Linked DNA regions of Bombyx mori. The protein of the gene in region 1 binds, or shares a complex with, the protein of each later gene. Links are inferred from orthologs where the notes say so. Each region holds a gene or a part of one and is shown on either strand. Other genes may lie near its edges.

Region 1 (4,333 bases):
GACTTTTTGCATTAATTGATGTCGGAACTTGTAGCCAACGCCGGAGACTGTAACCGGGTCCAATCTAACTCCTCCTGAGTCCTCCATATTGTTGTGTTCAGTGACCGTATACGCAGCTTAAATAAATATATAAAGTTTCGAGGCTGACCTCGGTAGGCCCGGGGGCAGCAACAGAAGCGGATACGCCGTGCCTGAACACAGCGCACCATGTCGTGTCGCACAAGCAGAGCAGGAAGACGTCCCTTTCTACCACTGGTCTCATTGAATCTACTGTAATTTTATTAGTATTCCAATTAGTTTGTGTGTTCATAATTAGTAAATCTGGAGATAATTGTAACGTTAAATTGGTTGAGACAGTCGGTCAAGGGGGGGTGGGACGCAACCTTCACTTCGAGCAGCCTCAGCAATAACTCCACATGCGTCTATTACACGTTTTCCTAACACAAATCACACAAGTGTGTGTATTGGAAGGAAAATTGGTGACTACCTCCAGATCTTCAAGAACAGCATCGCCCCCGACTTGATAACTGGGAGTACTCTTGTTCTTTTGGCTCAACGACTTTGGTGTATTACACTTATTTGAGTCATATGTGTGTTAAAATCATACGGCATGTCCAAATCAGCCTTTAAGCTATACAATTGAGACTTAGACCTCATGTCTCAAGGAGGGTGACACCTTGCACATTGTGGTTTGGGTGATTGGTAGACTATGAGTTTGTATCTATGGTCCTCCTCCTTGCGTCCCATTCCTCATTGCTGAGGGTTGTGACCACCCTTTTGTATCACCTTCGCACGCACGTATCTATGATACAATAGAATAATTTATTGTTGACAGTACTTACACTCTAACTTCTGTAGTTTTGTTATAGTAGAATTGTTGAGGTAAAATGGCTGCAAGAGGATTCCGTTGTTTCCAGCTAACAATACTATATTGCTTTGTGGACACCACGAAAACCACGCACCACTGAAATTTAATGGAGAGAAATTTTGTAGTTTCAGGGTACAATGCTGATTCTGTATTTTTGTGAAATCAAATGAATCTTTATTAGGAAGTGTTGTAATATAAAATGTTAATACATATAAACGACACTCTTTTTCACTGGTGGTAGGACCGCTTGTGAGTCCGCGCGGGTAGGTACCACCGCCCTGCCTATTTCTGCCGTGAAGCAGTGATGCGTTTCGGTTTGAAGGGCGGGGCAGCCGTTGTAACTATACTGAGATCTTAGAACTTATATCTCATGGTGGGTGGCGCATTTATATTGTAGATGTCCATGGGCTCCAGTAACCACTTAACATCAGGTGGGCTGTGAGCTCGTCCACCCATCAAGGCAATAAATAAAAAAAAAAAAAAAAAAAACACACACACACAAAAAAAAACGCGGACAATGCGGCTAATTGTTTATCGTGCTGCTTTGTGTTGTTGCACTATGGCGCAATTCAAGAAATCTTATTTTAAATCTACCCAGTAGTTTTTGTGGGTTGCACATACGACTGTAGATAGTGTATTGTGAATCCACACAAGTAGTTTCCTGGATGCAACTATTTGTGTCACAGTCTGCTAATGCATTTCAGTTTGCCCCCATGTTACAATGCATACTTTAACATGAATATGTGACTGTAGCCGGATGTTATGCTATTTTGGTTTAAAGAGCCAATTAAATTTCATATAGCTCTTTATCTAGATCTGCATGTCTACTGCTCTCCACCTAGAGACATTATGATTTTTTTATTACCATTATAGACATACAAAGTATATTACGATCCAACTGATAATAAATGGTGATCATTTCCCGTAGATGTTAATGATGTCTAGGCAGAACCAAGCCTCTGCTTACTGCTAGGGACCCTCCTCAAGCTTTACAGAAGAGCATGGCACTCAGAAAACACTGTAGGTTCGTTCTAAAGTCAGCTGCTGAGGCAAAAGGATCTTTAGAAATGTAGTGATGAAGAATATAATAGCTCTATATTATTATACAATTGAATTTTCAACTTACAAATGAAGATAATTAGTGGCACCTTAGTAGGAAAAATGCTTTACCTAAATGTGGTATTCTTCAAACTTTTCAATTGTTTTTTCTCAGGTAAAACTTGAAACAGCTCAATACCGTGATCAGTTATGAACGCAATTTCGTTTGCTTTAGGCCAAACAAAGCCTAATATTTTTGCGTTCTTCCATTTACAGCTGTGAGAGTACTCTACATTAGTAGGTGACATGTCCTTGAAGTTCACGAATTCTACTGCAGCACTCTGACTCTCATGATTACGTTGTATCGCCAATATTTTCTGGTCGGGTGATAATTTAATTGATATTATGGGTCCTTTGTCTTCCATTTGGAAAGATGTACACTTTCTATCATCCATACTGTTTACGGTTACGCCTCCGATTCCACCCGAACGTACTGTGAATACCTAAATAAAATTGTGATATTGTATTATAAAGTAGAACTCGAATGATATATAATACTGTCCTTAAATGTACCTTATATGGTACCAAGCTTAACTTAAGTGAATCTGGGGATAATCTTTTAATTTTCCACGAACATTCTGGCTTAAATTTGTTACATTATTTTAAGAAAACATGATTTATTTACCTGTCCATTAGTGTCGTCAAAAAATACATTTGTCACAGGGCAGTCCGGGTCAAAACGTTTGGGCTGTTCGGTGAGAGTCAAGTAATATTCATCACTATCTTTCAAATTAAATCTGGCCATGTTCTTATATTTTTATTTAAGAATATTAGTTAAAATAAAATGATAAACTATTTGTCATTGTTTTGGAAATTTGACCTCGACAGTTGACACTATTATTCTCCTATCAAGGTGACAGACGACAGTGGTAATAGTAGTAGTTTTATTTTTTCAACTGGAAAGGCAAACGTGTCATATCATACAGCCTAATCTTTGATGTATATATTGTTTAAATTTAAATGAAAAATGATATTGTGAAATGAAACGAAGTTGATTCATATGGAACACAGCATATAATGAAATGAGATGAGATGACACGATATGGGATGAAATATAATTTCAGTAAAATGGTGGTCATTTACTGAGATTTGTTCAGTGGACTTTTTGGAAAATCCCGTGAAGTTATGTCCAGTGGCTTTGTTTCATTTTCCCACATTTGTGCACTTTCACAGATATTAAACAGTTAATAAGCCACCGTTATTACACATTTAGCCCCGAGGAAACACTAAATAGACAAAATAAAACAAATCACACAACTCTACTCCTCGCCTTCCCGCCAAAAAGTCCCTCAAGGTGACATTTCAATGCAAACTGTAGATTACACAAAATAAAATTTAATTTTTATATTTATATTGGTTTAAAAAAATCAGCGGGCTATTCAGGGACACCGGCGCGGCGGCGCCGTCCTGGTGGCCCGACGGGCTGCCGTACCGTGACGGCTAACGTTTTTTTAGAGCCTCGCATCGCCGGGCATCCTTGGGGTGAGCTGCGTTTTGTCCGGCCCCCAGCCCGGTAAAAAAAGGTAGAAAAAAACTAAAAACAAGCTTACAAATATTTACTAGACAAACGATAGACAGCAATTGAAGCGATTTTGTTCTAAGTCATTACTACATTAGTACAAAAAAAATGGATCAATCTTTAGTTACCATGGCAACCATGAGTAACAGTAGGCGGCGAAACAAATAAGTGAGTTGTTTTTAAAGTCTTTGAGACAATTTTTACTCAAAGTAATCGAGGTTTAAATTTTTAAAATATTATTAAACTGATTTACTGGAAATGACTGAAAATGTTGAACTGCAGACATTTCGAACCTGTTATGAGAGCCAGGATGAGATTGAAGAGTACCATGAGATCAATGCAGTCGTTGATACTCAAAACATAGTGCAAAGTTCTAAAAAAGAAATAACTATAAACGAATATGATTTTTTTACCGAAACTGTGAAAATTAGCATCAAAGGTGTAAAAAAGAAAAAATCTAAGAAGAAAAATGATAAGGCTCAAATATTAGATGTTGTGAATGTGGAGATGGCATCCTTAACTGTTCCTGTTACTGAAAATACTATAAAGATAGTGAGTTTTGATGAAATGCAGCTAAATAGAGTAATTAAGAAAAGTTCTCCTCTTTTTAGGAGATTTTTAAGACGATTTACTGTTGATGCTGAGCACGGGTGAGTATTTCACATTGAGCATTAGGAGTACTGTCAGTCTTGCGGTTTAAGAATTGTTATTCTAATAATTTTTTCTAATAAATTCTTATCCGAGAAATTCGATGAGTGATTTATCAAGTTCAAATGAGCCTTAAGGAATATTGTATGAGCTGTGAGGACGCTGGCTGTATTCTGGGCATTAGTTTGGCATCAGTAACT
Region 2 (3,670 bases), on another chromosome or scaffold:
CATTGTTTGGCAATTGTTTTGTTAGCTATTAATGGAGTTACTGAATGCTATTCATTTGCCACAATGACTAGTAGCCAGTTAAATAGCTATAACTATTTAATGGTAATTTTCTCTGTAAGTTTCTTAGTTTTGTCATATTGTTTGACATATATTTTTGGTCCTATAGGATTCATCATTTCAAACTGTATAAATATGTTTGCTAGGATAATGCACAGTATTCATTTTATAAGGAACAAATATAAAGATACGGAATATAAGCCTTTGAATGGCTTGCTTGTTGGCAAAATATTTTTATCAACATTGTTCATTGCTGGTTTTGTATGTAAAATATCTGAAATTCGCTTATTCCCTTCTTTTATATTACTCCACATATTAGTGGGCGGAATTATGCTGCTATGTGTATTGATAGCTTGGGGCTATGAAAACAGAGAACTGGTTGTTAAGATGCACAGAAAAATTATGAATAAGGAAGAAAAGCTGTCAGTTGATTAATAGTTACCTATTTGTTAACTTTTTCTAAAATATATTTAAGGGTGAACAGACAAAAATTTAATATATATATTTATATTTATGAGTACCCCTACCGAGAGTAATAAAAAGTATCCATGGAATATTGTGTTGTTTTATTTTTAGCAAAATTTTGTATGTACATCTGTTAATAATTTTTTACATAGGGTAAAAGAATATCCCTTTCATTTGTGCTTCACAGACACGCTTCACTTCATCTGTAATAGAAAGAAATACAATAAAATATTTTATTGGTTATCTAGTTAATAATGAAAATTTTATATTGGAAGTGCGAACTAAAGGGAATGTAGTTATGAGAACTGTATTTAATTTCAATGAACGTATATTAAAATTAACAAACTTAAAGTCGTCGTGGCCTAATGGATAAGACGTCCGGTGCATACGTGTTGAGGGATGCACCGGTGTTCGAATCTCAGGCGGGTACCAATGAAATACTTTCTAATGAAATACGTACTCAACGAATGTTCACGATTGAGTTCCACGGTGAAGGAATAACATCGTGGAATAAAAATCAAACCCGCAAAATTATAATTTGCGTAATTACTGGTGGTAGAACTTCTTGTGAGTTCACGCGGGTAGGTACCACCACCCTGCCTATTTCTGCCGTGAAGCAGTAATGCGTTTCGGTTTGAAGGGTGGGGCAGCCGTTGTAACTATACTTGAGACTAGAACTTATATCTCAAGGTGGGTGGCGCATTTACGTTGTAGATGTCTATGGGCTCCTGTAACCACTTAACATCAGGTGGGCTGTGAGCTCGTCCACCCATCTATGCAATAAAAAAAATGCCCATGATATTTTATTTTATATTACACTGTTTATATTATGTGTTAATGTAGCAAATAAATATATTTAATTTGAAAGTTTCCATTGAACCAAGTAAAACTGAGTACGCACCCGCTATTTCTTTAAGGTTGGCATTTTTCTCTTGTATTATCACATAGAATTCTCTGTCATTGGAACATTTTCCTGTTATCCAGTATTCGTCTGGAGTTTTAATTATTATTTCTCCATAATTTCCAAGGCTAGGAAAAAAAAACAAGTATATTAATATTTAATTTTGACTATTGTTTTGTGTTTTAATTTCATCAAAGCGTTCCTTACGAGCGCAAGCATGTTTTGTTTACGTTTATTAAATAACGATATGTTACAATTATTATTTAATTCTTGAACTTCCCACATTTGTTCAACTTATTAATAGTATTATGTTCACTCAGCATGCATATTTGTTTTTTTTTCTTGGCCTATCCAAGCTTATGGACTAGGTCTTGAGAGACCATTTCAGCGTAACGTAACCGGGCGAGTAGGTGAGCTCACGGGTCTCAAACCTGACGTTGTTGCTAACACGAACTCTAGCAAGAGCCATGTTTCGCGGAATCTACCACCGGATCGGAAACGCGACCCACTGAGAAGATCCGGCGAGAAACTCAGTGGGCTGTGTCTGTGGGTTAATTTACCCGCCGAGCCCTTCGTCGCAAGCGACGAGTTCGACGAGAACGATGACCGGTGCATATTTGAATTTTTCTACAACTGCTTTATTCATACCAAAGAATAATGGAGTATTGGTAGACTAGTAATTTTAGCCATTCATTGAGCGGCTGTTCTGTACCCTCAGATGTTTAATTAGGTGCCCCCTTCCTATTTTATTAAGAAGACATGTTATTAATAGGTAGGTAATGAAAATTTGTCGTCTTATGTTGTCCGACGAATCCATCCAAATCATTAGAACTCATCAGGAAAGGATCCGGAGTTTCTTTGGGCACATAATGCGATCCTCATTGCACAGCCTGGAGAAACTCACAATTCTCGGACAGATGGAGGGGAAGCGCGCTAGAGGACGCCAGCTAGATGGGTTGACCAACTCAAGGAGGTGACTGGAGGCCAGATATGGGGAGCGGTACATATGGCGCAGAACCGGACCGAGTGGAGAAGATTGACATACAGTCACGATCCTCAGCATTGAGGGAACGACCAGAACAATAACTAAAAATTATTTTTACTAATTACTGACTAACCTTTGTCGGTCAGCATGAATTCCAGACATGATACTAAGAACTTCAGGTTTTATCGCAGCGGATATTTGCAATTTATTTACTGGTGGCTGAAATTTATGAAATGTTTTACTAGAAATCGTAAAATTCAAATAACATTAAATCTGTGTTATGGTTTACCATCACTTTGTTTATTCTTAACTATCAGCAGCAAGCAGGTACTGCTAAAATTTATTGGTTTATAAGTTTTGTTAGCATAAAACTTATAAACCAATAAATTTAACTGCTAAGTTAAGTGCATAGTTTAAGTTGTCCTAGCTTGATTTGACAATCCTGCCTATATCTGTCGGTCTGTCTGTAAAGTCTGTCTGAGTAGGTACTCATGCGTTTCATTTTTAAAGAGGTGGTTAACTACTACACAGTATAGTTGAGAATTTGAGAAAACGACCTCAAGATTGTAATGTCTATCGGCTCCGGTAACCACCTTAAACCTGATAGAGCGTAAACTCATTCCTTCACCAATATTATAAATAAATAAATAATATAGCGTAACCAAATATGTATCTGAACTTGCGATACCGGCCCCGCCGCCGCCTTACCCACCGCTGAGACAGAACTCTGAGCCAAAAAAACACGCGCCCGCGGCGCGCGCAAATACGACCGGCAAAATATTTTCAATCTTAGTTTGTCTGTACTTTTCTCAACTTTTTTATTTTATTTTAGTTAATTGTGTCGCTTTCTATTAAAATCTTATCCAAATCAGTGTTAACATAATTTCCATATCCTCTTCGCAAACAGCCCGGAACACCGAAGCCCATAAAAAACTCACAAAAGCCCCGCCAGTCGAACTTTTAGCGTTAAAATAAGTATTACTTACAGATGATTTCAAAATTAAATTTAATCTGTTGAAGTACACGAACTTGTGTTCGCTAGCCAGTTGCGCTGCTTGTAATGCGTGCAATGAACATTGTTCGCTGATGGCCGAAGCTATTGCTGATAGCTGCGGCCCAATAAATGCGTCCACTGACTTGACCGTATCAAGTTCCAGCCGAGTGTTTACTGAAAATATTCAATGTTCCTATTTATGTCAGAGCCCTTGGGCATTTTCGTTGAAAAAATACGAGTTGACACATATCATTACCCTACAAGCTTG

The links. The genes of interacting proteins can lie anywhere in the genome.
Region 2: the proteins of regulator of MON1-CCZ1 complex (region 1) and vacuolar fusion protein CCZ1 homolog are in contact, whole or in part, in a cryo-EM structure (PDB 8JBE), measured with the Drosophila melanogaster proteins. The link is inferred for Bombyx mori from reciprocal best matches to the Drosophila melanogaster genes Bulli and Ccz1. Residues at the interface, in NP_648047.2 of Drosophila melanogaster: Tyr395, Gly397, Phe407, Tyr464, Ser467, Met470, Leu471, Gln474, Asn477, Asn498, Arg499, Asp502, Thr503, Arg505, Arg506, Leu507, Tyr510, Met512, Asp530, Thr531, Ala532, Gln535, Ile538, Asp539, Arg543, His547, Ile550, Lys559, Asp562, Leu566; in NP_647835.1 of Drosophila melanogaster: Tyr188, Leu189, Pro190, Leu191, Asp192, Lys193, Thr194, Phe196, Leu197, Arg198, Gln200, Asn201, Glu207, Val223, Leu224, Cys225, Gly226, Lys228, Tyr342, Asn385, Gln387, Ser388, Pro427, Ala428, Asn447, Tyr448, Arg449, Asp479, Phe483, Lys485.

Annotation. Positions count from the first base shown.
Region 1 is NC_085117.1:6,360,631-6,364,963, forward strand, and holds the start of regulator of MON1-CCZ1 complex, read right to left. Parts: upstream 2,821-4,333; 5' UTR 2,712-2,820; coding exon 2,592-2,711; intron 2,410-2,591; coding exon 2,039-2,409; intron 965-2,038; coding exon 843-964; intron 271-842; coding exon 149-270; intron 1-148. Other genes in the region: protein CC2D2B, read left to right, coding at 3,744-4,135. UniProt on the Drosophila melanogaster protein: Positive regulator of the Rab7 guanyl-nucleotide exchange activity of the Mon1-Ccz1 complex, possibly by enhancing its endosomal membrane association.
Region 2 is NC_085114.1:10,377,916-10,381,585, reverse strand, and holds the end of vacuolar fusion protein CCZ1 homolog, read right to left. Parts: intron 3,577-3,670; coding exon 3,395-3,576; intron 2,628-3,394; coding exon 2,542-2,627; intron 1,552-2,541; coding exon 1,424-1,551; intron 726-1,423; coding exon 667-725; 3' UTR 607-666; downstream 1-606. Other genes in the region: protein RFT1 homolog, read left to right, coding at 1-492. UniProt on the Drosophila melanogaster protein: Part of the Mon1-Ccz1 guanyl-nucleotide exchange factor complex specific for Rab7 that promotes the exchange of GDP to GTP, converting Rab7 from an inactive GDP-bound form into an active GTP-bound form.